Caenorhabditis elegans: one gene and its partners. The protein of the gene in region 1 interacts with the protein of each later gene in a biochemical or structural test. Each region holds a gene or a part of one and is shown in the gene's direction. Other genes may lie near its edges. The genes, in order: goa-1, gpr-1, rgs-2 and gbas-1.

Region 1 (7,009 bases):
TTTGCATATGTTTTGTGACACATCGTTTCTTGCCGCAACGCTCGTTGGTTCCTGATTTCTGTTTTGTATGTCCTATAATTTATCGAAAAATAGAAGACTGGGAGTTCAAATAAAAATAATTATTTAAAAAATATTTGTTCCGCAGACAAATGACATTTTCAGTTTCAAATTTGCCAAATAATCTTTCTGTTTCTACGTTCTTCAATAACAGTTCTTATTGGAAACCCCGCCATATTTACTGGCTCAAACCACATTGGAACGATTTTATGAGAATTGTGAACACTTTCATGAATGAGCTTCCCATAAGGTTAAATTCCAAACTAATAGTAAAATATTTCAAGTTAAGGTTTTATTTCTGCGTAATCCACTATTTTTATCTTTTCTTGATTTTCCCTTTCATACTTTCACTCATTGTTTATTATTCGTGTCCCCTCGTCTCCGTTCTTCGACTGGAAAATCTGTAAGAGGGTCCAGCTGTGGTCTCCGGTGTACGGCACTCAACATGTCTCCTTGTGTATCGCTGCCAGTGCTGTCTATGCATTTATTATGAAAATAAAACAATTAGGCACATGGAAAAAGGCTTTATGTTCCTATAGCTTTTGGTTCACGGAGACCTAGTCTACGGCGCTGTTCGTCGATTGAAACTTAAATTTTAAATAGTAGTTTTCGGCATCATAAAGTCGCTATTAAGGCTGTCAGACAATTTAAGTTTTTATGCAATATTTTAAGATTTTAACTCAAACGCCGCCTGTGATCAGATAACTCCGACTACTAGAATATCTGCATGGTTCTGATCCTCATCATGATTTAAAATTCGAATCGACACGCAACGCAAGTAGCCGCCGACCCTCGTCTTCACTGTCGCTGCCCCCTGAACGATGGGGCTCTCCTGTTTCGGCTACTGGCTGCCCCTGGCTACTACTACCCCTTTTCTGCTATGCCCATGACCTTCTTCTTCTCCTCGCCCTCGCTTTTCTCTCTATTTTCCTTCTCCAACCCCACCATCCTGCTCGCCGTCGTCGTCGCAGTTGCTCCCCCATTTTTTTGCGCCACGCAAAAAAAAAAGAAAAAGAAGGACGACGACGACAACGAAGAAAGAGAAGAAGCAGAAGCAGTGAAAACGGAAAAATCGAAGACGTTGTCGTCTATTTTTTTGCTTCTGTTCTTTACAAATTATCTATTTTCTAACCTTTTTGTGGAGAACGTTGACCCGGCCGGAAGCATGTAGTAAAATTTCTTTTTGGTTGATTTTGCAAAACATGTTTATCCTCGATTAGCTGATTTTCATTTCGATTTCAGATTAAACCAATTGATTCTAAAATAGAAAACTGAATGAACAATCTCTGATCATTCTTGAAATATAACTAATTTAGTTCATCTGCAAGTTTAACAGTTAGTACATTTTTCTGTCGTAGATCAAGAAAAATTTCACCTTCGAATTTAGTACTCAAACATTGCAGGGATTCGAACATGCAAACGTTTTAACAATTTCCCCACTGACGCTGCTCCAAAGAAATCTGAGAGAACGTCTGATTTGAAAAAATGTTTGCGCAAAAATTAGAAAGGCCCTGTTTAGAGTATTGTAGGTTGCATATTTCTACCACTAAAATAAATTAATGAAAAAGTAAGAAAATTCAATAAAAATTAGTCGCCTTGACGACGTGCACCCTCTATTTTCCTCATTCGTCATTTTTGTCATCTCCTCTCATCTCATCTATATTCTGCCCTCGATCCCTCATCCATCCATTTCTTCATTCTCCATCTCACTGTGTCCCTTTTTTTCGCTCGATTGCTTTTTCTTTTCCTTATTTTTTAACCCGCTATAACTTACTTCGATTCTAATTTTTTCAATTTATTTTCAGCGCTGAGCTGCACCACATACAGTGAGTGAGTAGAGGATATCAAGTGGAGACCGCTACCGGGGCATAGGGTCCACCGTTCATCAACTCTAGCGCCATGGGTTGTACCATGTCACAGGAAGAGCGTGCCGCTCTTGAAAGATCACGAATGATTGAGAAAAATCTTAAAGAAGACGGCATGCAAGCGGCAAAAGATATCAAACTGCTGCTACTTGGTGCAGGAGAATCAGGAAAATCGACTATTGTAAAACAGATGAAGTGAGATTTTTTTAAATTTCTAAATAACAAATTAAAACATATATAAACGAAAATGGTAGAAATAAATGGTGAAAAACTCAGAATTTATCATCCGAAATTGTCCCATAGAACGTCCGAATATTTCGTTTGATCGATTTGAATTATTAAAAATTAAATTTAATTAAAAAGTAAATAAATCACTAGAGACTGCTATTAATTTTTTTTTCGTATTCAAAATTTGAAAAGTAAGTTCAACTCTCTAATAGTTTAAATTTGAAACACGCCTTTACAAATTTTCACATTTTAATGTTTTTTTTTCAGAATTATTCACGAATCGGGATTCACAGCAGAAGACTACAAACAGTACAAGCCGGTTGTCTACAGTAACACGGTTCAATCATTGGTCGCTATTTTGCGAGCCATGAGCAACTTAGGCGTTTCATTTGGTTCGGCTGACAGAGAGGTGAGTATTATGACAATTTTTCTGCAAAAAAATCGAAATTATTTAAAAATGAGGCACGAAATTTTCAAGTGATCCCTTAATGGAAAAAATTAATTTCGGTCCATTAGCTGCTAATGATTAGCACGACAAAAACGTTACTTCAAAATAAAACTTATTTTTCTGAAATTTACTTGCGATTGTGATCTATAGATAGAACATAAACATTATTCAATTAAAAATGTTTCCCGTGTTCTGAAGAGTAATTCGAAATATTTGGAAAATAACGAATAAAAAGATACGAAAAACGAAGAGCATGAGAATAAATGACATAATCTGTTGTATTCATTGGCTCGGTATCTTTTTCTCTCTCTCTCTCTTACATTCTGCAACTCTTATTGCCTCTCGTTGCACTCAATGCATCCCGCTACCACACCACCGTCCCATTCCAATTCCCTTGTGAGTTTCGATGCGCGACGCGCCACCGACAAACTCGTAGACTCGACCTAGTATTCCAAAAATATATGTTCGAGGCAGGAATTTTGAATTGGGATTTGGAAGGGATTCTAGAATGTTGGAAAATCTTTGGGAACACATTTTCGATTGATGTGGCAAATCATCAGAAAAAAATGTTCCCAACGTTTTGGAGAAGATTTTACATCATTCAGACGTCAAATGTTTTGTTATTGCGTCACAAATGCAATTCCCGGTTTTTATACGATGAATTTGTGTTCAATGCAAGAAGGTGTGCGCCTTTAAAGAGTACTGTAATGTTTAATTTTCGTTGCAGCCAAATTTTTAATCGATTTTTCATAGTTATTCAATAAAAACGTATTCATTTATTTTAAAAATTAATAAATAACAATCAAATATTTACGAATTAACTTTAACAAATCGTAAGAATAAATATAAACATATTTTAGCATTCAACAAAAATTTGTCGTGTCGAAAACGTAAAAAAGTTTTTGATGTGAAGATCGAACATTTATCATTCAATTTTATATATATCCTTAATCTTAACAAGACGTGACTATGCATGTCACCGAATATAAAGTAATTTGAGATAATTGAAATAAAATGACCATTTTGAGACCTTTGGACAAACCATTGGAAGAGAGCCAAGGATCCAATTTCAATTTTGTGAGAAAATTGGGAAAATGATGTACATGACATGCTGTGAATTATTCAATTTTCATCAGCGAATAAAGTTATCGAGAACTAAAATCAAAGTTTTTTGTTTCAGGTAGATGCAAAATTAGTGATGGATGTGGTGGCACGAATGGAGGACACAGAGCCATTCTCAGAAGAATTGCTCAGTTCAATGAAACGGTTGTGGGGAGACGCAGGTGTACAGGATTGTTTCTCAAGGAGTAACGAGTATCAATTGAATGATTCAGCCAAATAGTAAGTTTAATTCAAAATTTTGAAAAATTATTTCAAGTAACTATTATCTCCATAACAACCAAAGTGGTTTTTTTCATAAATTGAGAAGAGTTTCCTAAATTTCGAATCAATATGTTACATGTCAAGCTCATTTTCAATATTACCAAATTTAAAATTTCAAGAAATTTCGCAGTTTATAGAATTTATTAATAACCATTTTTTCAGTTTCCTTGACGACCTGGAAAGGTTAGGAGAGGCAATATATCAACCAACTGAGCAAGATATTCTCCGAACTCGTGTCAAAACAACTGGTATTGTTGAAGTTCACTTCACATTCAAAAATCTCAATTTCAAGTGAGTTTTCTTGATAAAAAAATAATATTTAATAATGAATATTTACAGATTGTTCGATGTGGGAGGTCAAAGATCAGAAAGGAAGAAGTGGATTCATTGTTTCGAAGATGTTACTGCTATTATTTTCTGTGTTGCCATGTCAGAGTATGATCAAGTGTTGCACGAAGATGAGACAACAGTGAGAAATTGATATTTTAATATTTTAGAAGCTTTTTTGTTGAAAAAGACAGACAAAATTTAAAATTAGAAAATATCGTTTAGAGACTTTATGTTTTTTAAACGATTTTCCAATCATGACTTGGTCGTTCGAGTCGACTTTTACAATAATAAAAATAATGTTCTTCTTCTAATTTTTCTAACGAAAATGCAACTTCTGACCGACAATATATTTGCCAAAATAAAAGAAACATGATAATTTAAAAATTACTCGTTTTTTTAAATTATATTCTATTATTCATTCTATTATTCATTATTCATTATTATTCATTATTGTTCCTTATTTCATATTTTCAGAACCGAATGCACGAATCGCTGAAGCTGTTCGATTCGATCTGTAATAACAAATGGTTCACAGATACATCGATTATTCTGTTCCTGAACAAGAAGGATCTGTTTGAAGAGAAAATCAAGAAAAGCCCGTTAACGATCTGCTTCCCAGAATATTCAGGTAAAATTTAATTGAATTTCCAATAAATGTTTTAATTTCTTAATCCCTGTAGGACGACAAGACTACCACGAGGCATCTGCGTATATTCAAGCACAATTTGAGGCTAAAAACAAATCAGCGAATAAGGTAAGAAAAAAAAGTCTAAAAATCAATGAAATCAGAGAAGCCTATGGGGTTCCTGTTCCACGAAAAGTATAAATTGTTTTTCTAGAATAATATTTTTTATAATTTTTAATATCTAGTTAATTTTGGAAATTTTTTGAAGTGTGAAACATTTATAAAATTTAATTTTTTTTAAGTAAACACGAATATTCAATTGTTTTGTTAATCTGTCACAGAAAATGATAACCAGAAAAATCTCTGAATCGTATTCAATTAAGTAATTACAACCAAAATTTGAGATTTTTACTATCTCGACATTTTCTCCGATATTGCGGTTACTGTAGTTTCATATTTGAATAGGTAGTTAAAGTTGAGTGTTGAGGTAATAATTTTAATTCATTATTTCATTTAATTTGTTTTCTTTTGAAATAATATTCTTATTTGCAGGAAATCTATTGCCACATGACATGTGCCACAGACACAACTAACATTCAATTTGTGTTTGACGCTGTCACCGATGTGATTATTGCCAATAATCTTCGTGGATGCGGCTTGTATTAAGCTGTCGTCTTCGCCGCCCTCTTCTACCATTCTGTGTGTATCTTTGCTTACTTTTCCCAAATTTTTAAAGATTCGTTATTTTTCTCATCCCCCGAGTATGCATCTATAATTTGAGAGCTTTACATGTACATTATGGTTGCAACTGTTTTTATTTTTTGGAAAAAGTTGCAATTTCAGATGTATATGGGCTTTTTTTTAACCTCTGATTCATTCATAATAGTCTCACCGCCCTTCTTTTTCTCAACTAGGATCCCTAATTTTTCTGTCACAAAAATAACACATAAAACTCACAATTATTTATTTTTTCCTTTTTTCTTATTTATTATATATTGTCATTATTCACGCCACATCCCCCGCCCTTCTCACTCCCGTGTAGCCTTATCGCTATTTGAAAACAAGAAAACTTTAAAAATCTAAATTCAGTTGGAATTCGTCCCGTTCCGCCACACACCCCCTAAAGGTCTCTTCACCCCGAATTATAAAGCTTTGCCCCTTTTTTCTTTCTTTTCTCCCATTTTTCAACACACCTAGTCACTGTTAACAGTTAAATAATGGCAGCTTTTGTCTATGTTTAAAGATTTTATTTTTAATTTTTGGTATTTTTCTATTTCTACTCTTCCCCTCTCATCCATTTTCCCTCCTTTTCCTAAAACCACACTTCCAAACTCATTTTTCTCGCTGTTTTCCTCTCCCTATTTTTTCTTTTACTTTTTCATTTTTCCATCTTTTTTCTTTAAAATCGTCTCGCTTTTTGTCGGTGAGCACGATGGTGTGCAGTAGACGATATTTTCCGCATTGGTTTATTGTCGACTGCACCCACTCATTGATATCTTATTTGATATAAACGACATCCTCAACTAGTTTTCGTACAAATTCAGTTTGGTGGATACAAAAGTACAGTGATTTAGTTTGCATGGGAAATTGCATATGGGACTACCGTACATATGTCTAGATAAAAAACCAATATTTTTAAAACTCGATAAAATTTAAATTTCCCTGAACTCCTTTTTGAATAACCACCAAGAAGTTTAAACCTCGCGCGCGAATTTAAAATTTAATTGTTATTTTGAATTATTAGCATGGTTTAAAACAATTTCCCCATCATTACCAAGATTTAAAAAAATCAAAACCTATTGTTATAACATCAAAAGTGGGAAACCCCAAAAATAGTCTTCAGATAATGATTTTCTCAAGATAAATGACCCGGAAGTGAGTGTTACTAAAGCGAAAAACCTTCCAAATGTCAAGTTTCATTAAATTTTACAACAATCATCTAAAAATGTGTCCTTTTTGTCACACAATTGTGTTCATTTTCCATCAGCTTTTCCCTCCTCCTCCCACTATGTGATAAACTTTCACTTTTTCTGTTCATTTGCCAAAAAAAAGAGAATATCTCATACACTTTCC
Region 2 (4,058 bases), on another chromosome or scaffold:
TCAGATTCATATCACCAACAGTTTGAATATCCATTGCTTTCAGTTGAGCTTCGCATACACGACCAATTCCTCCAACCTAAAAAATTATCTAGGTAAAACTAGAAGGTTATGCTTTAATAGTCTCACCTTACGAATCGGTAAATCCTTCAAAAACTCCATAATCGCGTTTTTATCATTTTCTAACACATATTGACCATTTGGTTTGTTCAAATCAGAACAAATCTTAGCGAGCATAAAGTTAGATGCGATTCCAGCAGAACATGTTAATCCCGTGAGTTGTTCAACTCGAAATCGAATTTCTCGAACAGCCTCCTCTCGTCCAGTTCCGAACTCCACATGGTCGTAGTAGATTTTCCGCGATTTTTCGCATTTTGGACAGATCGATTCTTCGATTTTCAAGTCTTCCAAAGTATTTTCATTCTCGTCGAAACGGGGTAACCAACATGGACAATCTCCGCCGAATCTGTGACGCTTGAAGGTTTCTAGTAAGCAAATAGTTTTTTGTTAATAATCAAATCTAAATCACTAACTTTTTTCTGTATTACTTGCCACATAGTCTGTCAAATCTATAAATGCCTCATCCAATGACATCATTCCAACATCCGAATCGTATTCCATGAAAATTTGTGAAAATTGGCGACTGACTTTAGTGTATTTAGGGTAATTTCCTGGAACAATCGTTAGACTCGGACAAAGTTTATTTGAGATGAAGCCAGGCATTCCAGCACGGACTCCAAAACGGCGAGCCAAGTAGTTGGATGTGCTCTGAAAGAATAGATTTAAAGCTTTTCCGAAATCGAAAATTTACTTTTCAAATTGAGTTAGGTGCTTACCAGCATTGCCGATGAGCCTACGGCCATAGGAACTGTTCTCAGTGCAGGATTATCTCTCATTTCAACTGCGGCAAAATAAGCATCCATATCTATACAAACACAGTCTCTTGATAAATCTCTAGATGATTCCAGTTTCATCTCAAGATTCTCCATCTGAAAATTGGAAATTTGCTCTAAGTAAATTTATTAGCTTTTAAAATACATACCAGTATCTCAGATTTTTGTCTTTCTTCTCTGGTTGCTGTTTGCAAACGATTTTTGATTTCTAAAACTTTCTCTTCAATTCTTGATTGTTGTTTTTTGGAAAACGACGAGTAGGACGCTGATGTGTTTTCTTCGATGACTTTCGTGATTTTCTCCTTATCCAGTCCATTCATTCCAGCTTTATTATCGTTGAAAGTCAGCATTTTTCACGAAAAAGAGCCGGATTTTGAAATTCGCGGAGAAACTCCACTGATTGTGAGTGTGCAAATGCGCGTAATGGTGTACTTACGTACATCGGCAACACATTTGACGACATATCAGAAAGCGGCGCCAAATTAGAAGTTGAGTGCGCGAGAAAAAACTACGCGTTAACCGCCAATTTTCACTTCCCCACAGATCTGTCTCGAGATTCTCGAGTCATTTTTCAAGTTTATTTGTTTGTCAGCGGTTGTTTTATTGAAGATTTGTAAAATTTATAACAAAATGTGCAATAGTCTATTAAACCTCGTGAGATATTTGAAGAAACTTTCCCCGTTTTAAATATTTCGTGTATTCGTGGAGATCGCGGGAATGTTTTGCCTGTTTCCGTAAAATTCCTCTATTTCTTTTATTTTTGCTTGCAATTTTCGATTCATTTCAGAAGTTTCCACATTCGCAAAACGAATGGACGTCTCTTATTACGATGGTCCCAAGGATGAAGTCGCCGAAGCAATGCTGAAAAGCGCGGTGACGGCCATGAGATTGGGACAATACGAGGATGGAAAAGGACGCTTAGAGGAGATAATGGAGTTCGGAACCTCAAATTTTCAACTACTTGGTACAATCTACATGTATTACGGAAGAGTGTGCAGGCATTTGAACCATGATGCCAAGGCCTTGGAGTTTTTCGAACATGAGTTGAACATGTTCAAGTAAGTGAATCACAAAAATGAGCTGGACATTCTATAACCTTAATTTTTCAGATTGATCTTCAACTACCCAGAAGCATGTGATTCCACACGTCGCATCGTCGAGCAGGCACTCAAAATGGGAAAGTTCCCCAAGGCTCGACGGTTTGCTGAGGATCTCATTGATTACACCAGCAATAAGAAGAACGGAGAGAAGTATATCGGTCAAGCTCGAATTTTGTTCGCTTCCGTGTGCCTCGAAGGATGTGAAAGAGACGTCGAGAGTAATCAAGATGAGAAGAAGAAGCTTTTGTCAATATGTGCTGAACAGATTGCAGCCGTGAAATTGTTCAACGAGAATAATACGGAAGGAGCTGTGTCTGAGACCAAAATCATGTTACTTGAGGCGAAATGCTTGTCACTAGACGAAAAATACGAGGAATCGCGTCGCAAGTATCAAGAATGCATCGATTTTGCCATCAAAACAGACCAGTTTGAAGCAGTTCACATCGCCTATTACGACAAGGCTCTATATGCTGAGACAGATCTTCTTTTCTTTATTATCAGAGATCTCAGGTAATTTTTAGTTTTAACGATTAATAAAAATATCAATTCTTTATTCACAGAAGTGCTCTCTTCTACGCCACGAAATTCGGAAAAGAGCGAGATGTAGTCAAATATAAGTCGAAGCTATCCGAAGAGATGCTGAGAAATGGCGAATTCCACGAAGCATATCTCTACGGATTGGAAGCGCTTGTATCGATTCGGAAGCTTGGATTGAACGAATACATTGGAGATGTGTTGCTTACAATCGCAAAGTGCCTCATTGCACTTGGAAAAAGACGCCAAGCTGCTTATTTTATCATCTTGGGGAGTGTTCTGACCATCAACCAAAACAGTTTCAAACTGTTCTACGAGCAGATCGACGTGGCGATGAATCAAGAGAGAAGCGAAACGGCAACTGATCAAGATGTATGCCTCGCAATTGATTCGTCTCCTGATCCGACATCCTCGAATGACATGATTAATAAGTTCGTCGTCGAACTGGAGCACGCAACAAATGTGGAAACCTGGGAAATGATTGTCAACGGAATCATTGACGACCAGAAGAAACCAGTGGCGATCGAAAAGAAAGAGAACGAGGAACCCGTAGACATGATGGATCTCATTTTCAGTATGAGCTCACGTATGGATGATCAAAGAACTGAACTGCCTGCTGCCAGATTCATTCCGCGTAAGAAATGTTATAAATAAGCGTATAAGTATGCAAATTTATATTTTTCCAGCTCGTCCAGTGTCATCGGCATCGAAAAAGACTACAAAGAGTCACAGAATCCTCCCTGGACTCCGTGCCAATTGGACAAAAGTGCAGTCGATGAAGTTCGATGGTCACACAATGAATAGGATCCTGAAGAGGTCGAAGAAAAGCAAATCGTCATTGGATTCTACAAATTCGATGCAGGGCGATGATACTCGAAGCGATGATGTGACAATGACGTCCAAATAGGACCATTATTTTTTCTGTCAAATAATACAATCAAACTTTCTTTATTTATTTTTTTTTTACTTTCTTTCAGTAAATATTATTATCATTTTAGTGGTTCTTTTATTTTATTTGCTGGTCAGAAAAGCTGATTTTTTCAATTAGCGAAAATCCATCAAGTCATATTTCTATAGACTCTTTACTACATACGTTGATGACTTTCGTGATTTTCTCCTTATCCGGTTCATCCATTCCAGCTTTATTATTGTTGAAAGTAAATAAGCATTGTTTCCCGAAAAAGAGCCGGATTTTGAAATTCGCGGAGAAAAAGTTGAAAATTGAAAAATCCAAACGATGCTCCGATGTTCCGTCCGAAATGTGTGTTTTACCGTGACGGTGTTTGCAGACAGCTTGAAAAAACATTTATTTTTTTATTTTAATTTTATTAATTTATTATTTATTTTAGAATGTTCTATATTTTAAAATGTGAATTTGTTTCAGGGTACTCGGAATGTTTGTCTTAAACCGTTCAAGCGGGCTCATTCATCGATCTGTACCTTTATTAGCTCAAGTATCCACGCCTACGACTTCCACAACAAAATTAGGTTAATAATTCTCCATTTGGTGATAAACCAATTCTTTTCTGCTTTT
Region 3 (4,843 bases), on another chromosome or scaffold:
CAAAGATCCTATAACAAATGTTCGCTAACCCTCGTTCCAGGCACTGTTTTTCTTACATTGATCGCTTAGAAGTTTTTCAATTCAATTAAACATACCATTCTCATATCCAATTTCATCGAGGGATCAGTGATCAAATCTTTTTTGATCCACTATTATTGTTTAGCATTGTTCATTCAAATGTCAATATTGCCCTCGTATTTTTTTTTCATGTCGTTGCAAAATCCAGTACATATTAATTGCGTAGGTGATTTGAGAATAAAAGTTCATTTTTTTGCGGAGCATTTGAGATGGTTCGAAAAACAACTGATTCTGTGGAAAATGTTCAGTGAAGTAATTTTTAACATCAGAAAGATTCATTAGCTGTTTGAAAATAAGAATGATTAGTACGTGAGAGTACTGTAGGGTTACTGTAAACACTAGGAACACTAGGTGTTCTGTACTCAAATTTCCACCAATTTTTTTTATTGACATTATTAAATTGTTCAACGTATTCAAATTGAAAACTTAACAGTTCCAGCCCTAAATTCGTTTCAATTGGATGATTTCCTATACATTAGTGCCAAAAACCACAACCCATTAGACTGCATCCGTGAAATGTGGTGTGCTAGCTCAATTTATAAATTGAATGCAAGTATTTTGGTCTTCAGTGAAATGCTAATTTGGAAAGTATGTTTTTCATTTTAACATTTGCTTTTAGGTGTTTAAGTGAACATTGAAAAAACGTATAAACTAACAAAAAACTGACTTTCTCAGTTTTTTTTTTGCTTTTTTTTCTTCTCTTGTGTGGAAAGCCAACAAACCAATTGGTTTTGTTTCAAGTGCCCAAACATGTTGTGTTTTTTTAAACTTTGTAGCTGTGGTCAAACTTGACAAAAGGGCTAACATGTTTTCTCATAAAAATAATAAATTAATTAAAACAATTAAAATCTTGTTTTTATGCTAATTTTTTTGATTTGGAAGTAATGTGGAATCTAGTAGTAGGAAAATCCTATAATTTCGAATAACTTTGTCTTAAATTTCCGCAGTAAAAGTTTAATATTTATGTTTACATATTTCTGGAATGGGAAATCAGAACAACATATTTTATGCAACAATAATCATATTCCATCCCACACACTTTCATTCGCAATCGCCTTAAACGGTTTCACACATGACAAAATGTTTTTGGAAACTATTCTGGTTTTTTTGTATATTTGCTTTGAAAAAAAAGTGAAAATTTTCAGTTTCTTCCTGAAATGTAGAGATTTGTAAAATGTTGCTAATTTTTTTGTTAATAATTAAGGAATTTTAATTTTACAAAAGTAATGTGCTAAAGCAGGGGTGATCCATTTTTAAATTGAAACATTACAGTTGTTTAATCTAAGCAAATTAAAAAAATATATACTAAATCCAAATTGTGTTTTTATAATAGTTTTAACTTTCAACACTTGAAAATCTGAAAAAGTTGTTCTTTTGCCAAATGTCAAACGGATCGCATGACACGAGACCTCCAGAGCGTCAGTGGCCCCAGTATCTTTTGAATTTTCACTCATCATCCATATATTCATTAAATATAGTGAGAGAATGAAGGGAAAAGGGAAAGAAAAAAGAAAGAAGTGGTTCTAGTATTATGTATGCGTGTGTCCGCGAGGCATCGATATATTCCGCCACAGCCACAAGTGTCCCATCCTCTTCTTCTCATCAAGGTTTTTTCTTCAATGAGGTTCTATTCATTTTCTAAACTTTTTCCTTTTTGAACTTTTTTCTTCCTTTAAATTCATGTTTTGTTTGAAGTTTATTTTACCGGATAAACTTTCAGAGGCAAACATGTCATGTGCAATAAGTTGTTTTGGAAAAATCATCGTTTGTGTCACTCACAATTCTTCACCAAGCGGTAAACCGTATGTCAGGTTAGTTGAGTTTTGCGTTGAATTTAATTGTTTGAGTAGGTCATAACCAAATTTTCGTTAATTTGACACTTGTATAAGCTTGTTTTTTTAAGACAACAAGATTTATATAGCATTTTCTATGTTAATTCTGTGTCAGAGAATGTTAATTAAGCAGTAATTAGCCCCAAAGAGAAAAACTTAGGTGATAAATTAAAACCTTTAGAAACACACTTCAGAATCAAAAGTTCAAATTAATTTCATTCTTTTTATGGTCCCTCAATTTCGTTCCGCAACGTGAACTTTGCGAAATATTATAAAAAACTATGTCTCCCCTTTATGTTTGCTCCGACCTCTTTTTTTTTCTTTTTATTCCGTCTCCAATCATGCAGTTCTCATTAAATCTGATTCACTGCAAGAAAAAAGTGCGTATGCTCAGGCGTGCTCAGTAGCTCACTTGCCTTCCTCACATGAGGAAATAATGAAGAGTAGCAGTAGAAGAAGCGGATGGAAATTGAAATGAGAATGAGAGGACAGGAGACGGAAAAGAAAATGTATTCGATTAACCAAATGTTACGTGACAAGGACAAATATTCCATTATTTCTCTAGTCAACAGCCAAAAAATTAACGACAGTTGTAATGCAACACTTCAAAAAATTAACAACAAAAGGTTAAAAATTAAAAACTTTGAAAAAACCGCATAACATTGTGATTATTGTAATATTAACTAATGCCGTGTATACTTCAAATTGTATTTTTCAAAAATGAAAAGAAAGCAAATGAGTGGCAAGTTCAGCTTGCCCAAATACTCTTTATTAGTGCTGCACTTTATTGCTAAACTTTGCTGCTCATATTATGGTTCTCTTCTTTTTTATAATACAACAAAAACAGAATAAATAATGCTCAATTATTTTTCTATAGTTGCCTAATTAACTGCTTAATGATATCTTCAAAATGGACCGAAGTATATCTTTCCAAAATGGAGCAATGGAGCGCAGCACTGATCGAGACCATAGGGTAGTAATTTGGAAATTCAAAAAGTTGCGAATATATACAATTATACCATGTTTGTTATCAATCAAAGGAGAGCTTCGTAATTCACTGCCCATTCCCGACGCTGTTGCCTTCTGATAGTCATTTATTTCAAGTTAGGCGCAGCAGCATGCTGCGCCAAAATACACATTCATAAGTAATTATAGGATAGGTGGTTGCTAGAGAAATCTAAATTAGAGGTTTGTCATACTCCCCGTATGGCTGCGTCAAGGATTCCAAAATTTATAACTGAAACAACAGTGATACAGAAGGCTTTGCAAAATCTTCTCTGATAGTTAGACAATTTCGATATGAGGATTCAAATTCATACAACAATCATCTACATAGATAAATAAATAAAATGAATCTAAGCCAAGTTGCCCTGACAAAGTCTTCTGAAACAGGTGTCATATCCTAGACAGTCATCCTTGCATACGTCAATGGTAACTGAGTTCTATTCTGCGTTTTATCTTTCTCATTTTCATTGTTGACTACATTTGCAAGTAAGAAAGCGCTGGCTCTCCAACTTCTCCACCCAGTCATTAGAAGAGAAGCGATCATGTAGATTTGATGACATGACCAACATTCTTGCTGTAATTGCAGCTTCGGAAGAAGAAAAAAAAACTTCGAACTTGAAAATCTTGTTTCTTCTATTTCTCGTCTCTGTTTTCTTTCCGAAGTTCTTACTCAAAACTCTATTCCACGGTTCTACGTAAACTTCTGAAGAATACAAAAATGAGTGGTCCGAACCACGCAGTGGTTTTTGACAGCATTGGAGGAGAAAATCAAGCGGTTCATCAACCGACGTCTATCAGCCGTTGGAGCAAGTTTTTCAGTGTGGTCAAAGGGTTGGGATGCATTCGATGGACAAGACACAGGTATTTTCTCTGAATCCTCTTATAATTGTTTCTGCTTTGTGCGCATGAGTTTTCTTTTAATATTCTATCAAATCAAAGGGCCGTTTACACTAAATTTGGGAAAGTTGATGGTATCTTTCTCTCTCTTTCTCTCTCTCTCTCAAAATAATTTTTTGCTTAATCTACTAAGCAATTATCAAAATGCGGCTTGCACTTCTCCGATTGACTATTTTTTGCTAGAGATTTCGTTTAAATAGTCTTTACCTTTAAACATTTTCACTTCATTTTACAACTATTTCTTCCAATTTTTTTTCTTATTTTGCTGAGCTAAGATCACTGGTCAAATCACTAGAATCACTAGAATCAACAAAAAAAACATCATCAAGAGCTCTCCAAGATCTTCTTTGAAAACGACAAACAACGATTGCAAACAGTGAAATTTGCACCTGAAATAGTACTACGTCAGCAGCTTAAGTGTGAGCGGAAAATATCTCGAATCCAAAGGACTCCAATATTAAGGTGGCAGGTGTATCTGGTCAATATTGAATACATTTACTTGAAAACTTGCTCGGCATCAGTTCATTAAACTTGCGATTTTCGGCTTTATTGGATCTTACTTTGTCGAGGTTCTACTTATTCTCACAACTTGCTGCGAATGCGTTCTTCAGGTTCTTGTATCATGGCTTTAATCGATTCTCTGATTGATTTATGGTAAAGTTAAATGTTTGAAACTTCTCGACAAGCACACACGTGATAAGTTGGTGAAAACAATAAACAGCGATTTATGTTGCTACGCAAATTCCTTTAAACTAACAATTATGTTTAATTTCAATTATTCTATGTTTCTAAATTTAAATAAAAATTGAAGTGGCGTACCGCTTGTACATATATCATATTAAATTTTTGAAAATAAAATTGAAATTTGTATTTACTTTCAAGTAAAAAAAAAACTTGAAAAAGTTTGCGCAACTTTTTGGGGAAAAAAGGTAAAAACCATGTTTCCCCCGTTTTTTGATTCGTAAATAAAAAGTTCAAATTTCCGTTGAAAAGTTTCATTATGATATTCATTTATTTTACCAACAATGAAA
Region 4 (5,023 bases), on another chromosome or scaffold:
AATGAAAAAAAAATTTGATAACTAATCTAGAACTTAAATTTCAAAATTTTCAATGCTTTTTTTCCGAACTCTTCACAAAATTTCAGTCTGAACCTCGAAAACTAGAAACTTCTAGCTCAATTTTGAAATTCCGAGGGGTACGGTAGCGCCAGAAGTACGCAAACACCGACTACAGTACCCCCAAAACACTGAAGTTTACGCGATTTTCGAAATTTGAGCTGAAAATTTGCAGAGTGATTAAAAAAATGGCGGAGAATTCGAATTTGAAAATTGAAATATCTGAAATTTTTGTTTTGGACTTTTTAAAAATTAAATTTTCGATTGAAATTAATTAAAATTAAATTTTTGTGGTTATTAAAAAAAAACATTATAAATTTTTAAAACCAAATGTATGTACTCTTGAAAGTGAAAAAACAACAGAGATTTTTTGAGATTTGTGCCAGACAAAGTCGTATACAACCCAATTTCCCCTGACCTTCAATTGATGAAAAAACTTTAAACACAATTTTTTTAAAAACATTTATTAATAATTATATTGTACCCTGCTTGCCATTTAACTGTTAACAAAAGATTTTTCTTTCTTCTGGATTTTTATTTCTTCTGGCAAAACCAGTATTTGATATTAACGAATTGCCTGAAAAAATAATTGAAAAGTAATAGGGACTAAGTGGGTGAAAACTTACACAAATATTGTCCCCTCTTGGATGGTTAGGGACTAGGTCAGTAATAAATTTTCTCACACTTGTATTATAATATCGTTTATTGAGCAGAAAAAATATTGAGGAAAACTGAAAAAAAATCATTTAAAACATCAATACCGATTGAAATAAGTAGCAAAAAACTTACATTTACTCGATTTTTGTCTTAAAAAAATATTTAAAAAGCTAAATACTATTTAAAAAATCAATAAAATTGGGGAAGAATACGGGGGACAACCATTCAGTAGGCTGTCTTGGAGGCAGAATGAAGGGAAATTCGGAAAAAGAAAGAGCATTGAGAGATGAGAGACTTGGGCTGTGAGACACTAGAGGGAATAGATAGTGGACGGGAGGGTGGAAAATTGATACTTTCTGTAATGATAACAAAACGCAAGATTTTTTTTGTTATCTATATATTCTAGATTATATTATAAAATACTTTAAAAGTCCAGTTTAGCACAAATTATCGAAAAAAAGATAGTCAGAGCATAATAATTTTAATAATTTATAGAAATGCACATTTTTCATGATTTCAAAAATTTTTCTCCACATTTTAATAAAAAAATTTGAATTCCTCGCCATTTTCTTAGTCTATTCCTAAATTTTCCGAAGAAAATTCGAAAACCGCGTGAAATCCGGTGTTTCTGGGGATACTGTAGTCTGTAGTTGCACACTTTCGGAGCTACCGTAACCCGAGAAATTTCAAAACTGAGCTAGAAATCTCTAGTTTTAGATTTTCCGACTGAAATTTTGCAAGGAATTCGAATTTTCCTATGCAAATTGTTTTTTAGCTCCGATTTCCTTCATTTTTAATAATTTTCCAAAGCTCAATTTTGACTGAAAAAATGAACATTTTCGTGAAACTGAAGAAAACCTGAATATTTTCGATAGAATTAAAATTTATTTGATTTTCGGACATTCTTCAATGGAAATTTCTCAAGAAATTATAAAATTCCAGTTAAAACGGGAAAGAATTATTATTTTAATTTAAATAATAAATTCTCCCGCACTCTCTCTGCGTCTCACGCTCTCTAACGCGTGCCAATGGAGCGCGCTTTCAATTTTCTATTTTTAGCATTTTATTTTTTTCAAATTTAAAAACTAATTTTCGACTCGAATCCTCGAAATTCTTCGTTTAAAACCAAATTTTCTGAAAAAATCGAATTTTTCGCTTTAATCTAACCTAAAATTCACTGAAAAAGCGCAAAAATTAAAGTTTTTCTGACATTTTCTCCATTTTTCCGTTAATTTTTGCATTTCCATCAATTTTCCTTACTTTAAAATGTAATTTTCAGCAAAATGAGGTCGGTACGAAGCTCCTCACGAACTCCGAAGCCAGTGAAACGCTTCGTTTTTGATGAAGACGAGGATCTCGAAGAAATCGATCTGGATGAGGTGGATAACGCCGATTTTGAGCGGGAAGATGATGGTAAAGCATTGGAAAAACTCGAAAAATGAAACTAAAATTGTGGAAAAGAATTAAAAAATCGAAAAATTCAGCAAATTTAAGTTGAAAACGACAAAAATAGATTTTTCTTCAAAAAAATTGAAAAAAATTGGGGAAAATCGGAGTAAATTGAATATTCTATTGTCAGAAATCGAAACTAATTGTAAATTTGATTTTTTCAGATAAAAATCTTGCAATTTATGCATCAAATCAAATTTTTAAAAAAATCTCAAAAAAAATCCAGGATTTTTTCGAAAATTCCTTCAAAATGAAGGATTTTTTTTTGGAAAATTCGTTTTTTTGTTGGAAATTTGAATTATACTTAGTATTTTCATCAGTTTTTCCAAAAAAAAACACTATTCTATACGTGTAGGACTTTAAAAACTCATTTTTTAATCCAAAAATTCTGAAATTTCTGTGACTTGTGTGCTTCTATCCTAATTGATGGTTTGAATAGTTGGTATTCTCGGCTGAAACATGCAATAAATACCGTATTCCAGCCAACAATTTGTGCAATAGAGCACATTTGTCACCGGGGATGCTGAAGCTATGCCCAAATTTTCATTTTTCACTCAAAAACTTGTGAAATTTTTTAATTTTCTTTTTTCAGAAGAAGAAGTGCTCTCGGAGCCATCGGAGAGCCCATACACCTCAACGCCTAAATCCTCGAAAAGAGTGAATAAAACCCGTGGAACTAAGGATTTCTTTAAAAAAGACGAAAGTTTGCAACTTTTTCGATTTGTGCTCAACGAATGTCGGAGCCAGAAGCCTGGAAGAGTCGGAAGAGTTGCTAAAAAACGAGTGGGCGTAAATTCAATGAAATATTGGGAACGATATAAACGAGAGATTCAAGGATATCGACTACCGAAACAATATCGCTATCAGTAGGGTTTTGTGAACCGTTTAAAATCAAAAATCAAACATTTTAATGAAAAAATTCGAATTCCCTGCAAAATTTGTCGGAAAATCGAAAACTAGAAGTTTCTAGCTCAATTTTGGAATTTCGAGGAGTACGGTAGCCCCGGAAGTACGCAAACACCGACTACAGTACCCTAAATCACCCGATTTTACGGGATTTCCGAATTTTGAGCTGAAAATTCAGGATTAGACTAAGAAAATGGCGAGGATTTCGAATTTCATAATAAAAATGCGGAGAAAACAATTTGCACCTGAAAATTTTAGAAAAAATGCGAAAAAATACAAAAATGTTGTGGAATTTTTTAAAAAACCCGGATTTCTTTTCGATTTTCAGTTTTATACCAAAAAAATCTGAATTTTAGCTTTATTTTGAAAAATTGTGCAGCTTTTCAGTCAAAGACCGCGACGCGACCGCAACGCGAACGATTCCGACTATTTTTGCATTTTTGGTATCAAATTCGAACTCACTATGAAATTTTAGGCTGAAACGCGAAAACTAGAAGTTTCTAGCTCAATTTTGAAATTTCGAGGGTCACGGTAGCGCCAAAAGTACGCAAACACCGACTACAGTACCCCAAAACACCCGATTTTACGCGATTTTCGAATTTCGAGCTGAAAATTCACGGATATACTAAGAAAATGGCGGGGAATTCGAGTTTGACAATGAAAACTACGAGAAAATTTTTTGAACATTTGAAAATCAACAATTTTCTGAAATTCTTGGACTGAAACTCGGAAATGAGCAGTTTCAGTGATAAATTCAAATTCCCTGCAAACTGTTGGCCTAAACGCCGAAAACTAGGCATTTCTAGCTCAATTTTGAAATTGCCCGGGTTACGGTAGCGCCAAAAGTACGCAAACACCGACTACAGTACCCCAAAAACTGAATTTTACGCAATTTTCGAATTTTAAGCTGACATTTTAGGATTAGACTAAGAAAATGACGGAGAATTTGAATTTAATATTCAAATTTTGTAGAAAAAATTTTGAACCCCTGAAAAATTGGCGGTTTTCTGAGAATTGGTTTTTTTTTCGCAAAAAAAAAGATTTTCGCTTTTTACCGAATTTTCTCAGTTTTCTGTGCATTTTTCTAGCAAAAACTCAAGTTTAAGCCGGAATTTTCCATATTTCCGACCATTTTTCGGAGAAAATTTCAAATTTTAGTTCTAAAAATTTAGATTTCAGCCAAATTTTCAGCAAATTTCCCCAATTTTTTTCAGCTACAGCTTCTACTCGAAATGCTTCTACAAAGTGCTCGGATTGACGCCAGAAGAAAAAGTTGATCTATATTACGCGTGTGAAATGCCAGTCGTAACCGATGCTGAAAAGCAGTGGCTCGTCGAGCAATTCCACGTGGAATTTGACGAATTTGGAGTAATTATTGGCAGTGATGTGTGCACCCATTGGGATGAGGAACACTCGGATTCTGAAGATGATTCGGGTAAAAATTCCGCTGAAAATTCCATGAAAACCCCCCGATTTTTTGTCTGAAAATCGGTCTGAAGTCAAATTTTCTCGATTTTCATTATCAAATTCAAATTCCCTGCGAAATTCCAGCTTGAAAATCGAAAACTAGAGGTTTCTAGCTCAATTTTGATATTTTTAGGGGTACGGTAGCGCCAGAAGTACGCAAACACCGACTACAGTAACCCAGAAACACCGGATTTCACGCGATTTTCGAATTTTGAGCTGTAAATTCAGGGATAGACTAATAAAATAGTGGGGAATTCGAATTTCATATTTAAATTCCGCAGAAAAAAATTTGAAAATCTGAAAAACCGTATTTTTCTGAAATTCCTAGACTGAAACTCGGAAATTGGCAGTTTCAGTGACAAATTCGAGTTCCCCTCAAAATTTGACACTCAACACAAAAAACTAGAGCTCGCTAGCTCAATTTTGACACTTTGAGGGGTACGGTAGCGCCAAAAATACGCAAACACCGACTACAGTACTCCCGAAA

The links.
Region 2: of the proteins of goa-1 (region 1) and gpr-1, one has a biochemical effect on the other in vitro, tested with the Caenorhabditis elegans proteins (2 studies listed by BioGRID).
Region 3: of the proteins of goa-1 (region 1) and rgs-2, one has a biochemical effect on the other in vitro, tested with the Caenorhabditis elegans proteins (one study listed by BioGRID).
Region 4: of the proteins of goa-1 (region 1) and gbas-1, one has a biochemical effect on the other in vitro, tested with the Caenorhabditis elegans proteins (one study listed by BioGRID).

Annotation. Positions count from the first base shown.
Region 1 is NC_003279.8:7,520,254-7,527,262, forward strand, and holds goa-1 (Guanine nucleotide-binding protein G(o) subunit alpha), read left to right. Parts: upstream 1-1,862; 5' UTR 1,863-1,956; coding exon 1,957-2,117; intron 2,118-2,417; coding exon 2,418-2,559; intron 2,560-3,778; coding exon 3,779-3,939; intron 3,940-4,143; coding exon 4,144-4,272; intron 4,273-4,320; coding exon 4,321-4,450; intron 4,451-4,785; coding exon 4,786-4,939; intron 4,940-4,991; coding exon 4,992-5,065; intron 5,066-5,488; coding exon 5,489-5,602; 3' UTR 5,603-6,459; downstream 6,460-7,009. UniProt on the Caenorhabditis elegans protein: Guanine nucleotide-binding proteins (G proteins) are involved as modulators or transducers in various transmembrane signaling systems. In the 1-cell embryo, probably together with gpa-16, controls nuclear rotation and spindle elongation during mitosis.
Region 2 is NC_003281.10:8,627,257-8,631,314, forward strand, and holds gpr-1 (G-protein regulator 1), read left to right. Parts: upstream 1-1,669; 5' UTR 1,670-1,700; coding exon 1,701-1,948; intron 1,949-1,999; coding exon 2,000-2,500; intron 2,501-2,550; coding exon 2,551-3,158; intron 3,159-3,210; coding exon 3,211-3,431; 3' UTR 3,432-3,520; downstream 3,521-4,058. Other genes in the region: polk-1 (DNA polymerase kappa), read right to left, coding at 1-76, 127-482, 531-765, 834-986, 1,040-1,240; DnaJ homolog dnj-10, read left to right, coding at 3,919-4,012. UniProt on the Caenorhabditis elegans protein: In the 1-cell embryo, probably together with gpr-2, controls nuclear rotation and spindle elongation during mitosis. Complex of gpr-1 and gpr-2, in association with lin-5, activates G-protein signaling to affect mitotic spindle force.
Region 3 is NC_003284.9:12,710,855-12,715,697, forward strand, and holds the start of rgs-2 (RGS domain-containing protein), read left to right. Parts: upstream 1-1,798; 5' UTR 1,799-1,806; coding exon 1,807-1,889; intron 1,890-4,843. UniProt on the Caenorhabditis elegans protein: Weakly inhibits G protein signaling in nervous system, interacting preferentially with the G(O) subfamily member goa-1. In vitro, it acts as a GTPase activator of goa-1.
Region 4 is NC_003280.10:2,502,885-2,507,907, forward strand, and holds the start of gbas-1 (G-protein alpha subunit activating protein gbas-1), read left to right. Parts: upstream 1-1,993; 5' UTR 1,994-1,997; coding exon 1,998-2,127; intron 2,128-2,755; coding exon 2,756-3,029; intron 3,030-4,283; coding exon 4,284-4,504; intron 4,505-5,023. UniProt on the Caenorhabditis elegans protein: Acts as a non-receptor guanine nucleotide exchange factor which binds to and activates G-protein alpha subunit goa-1.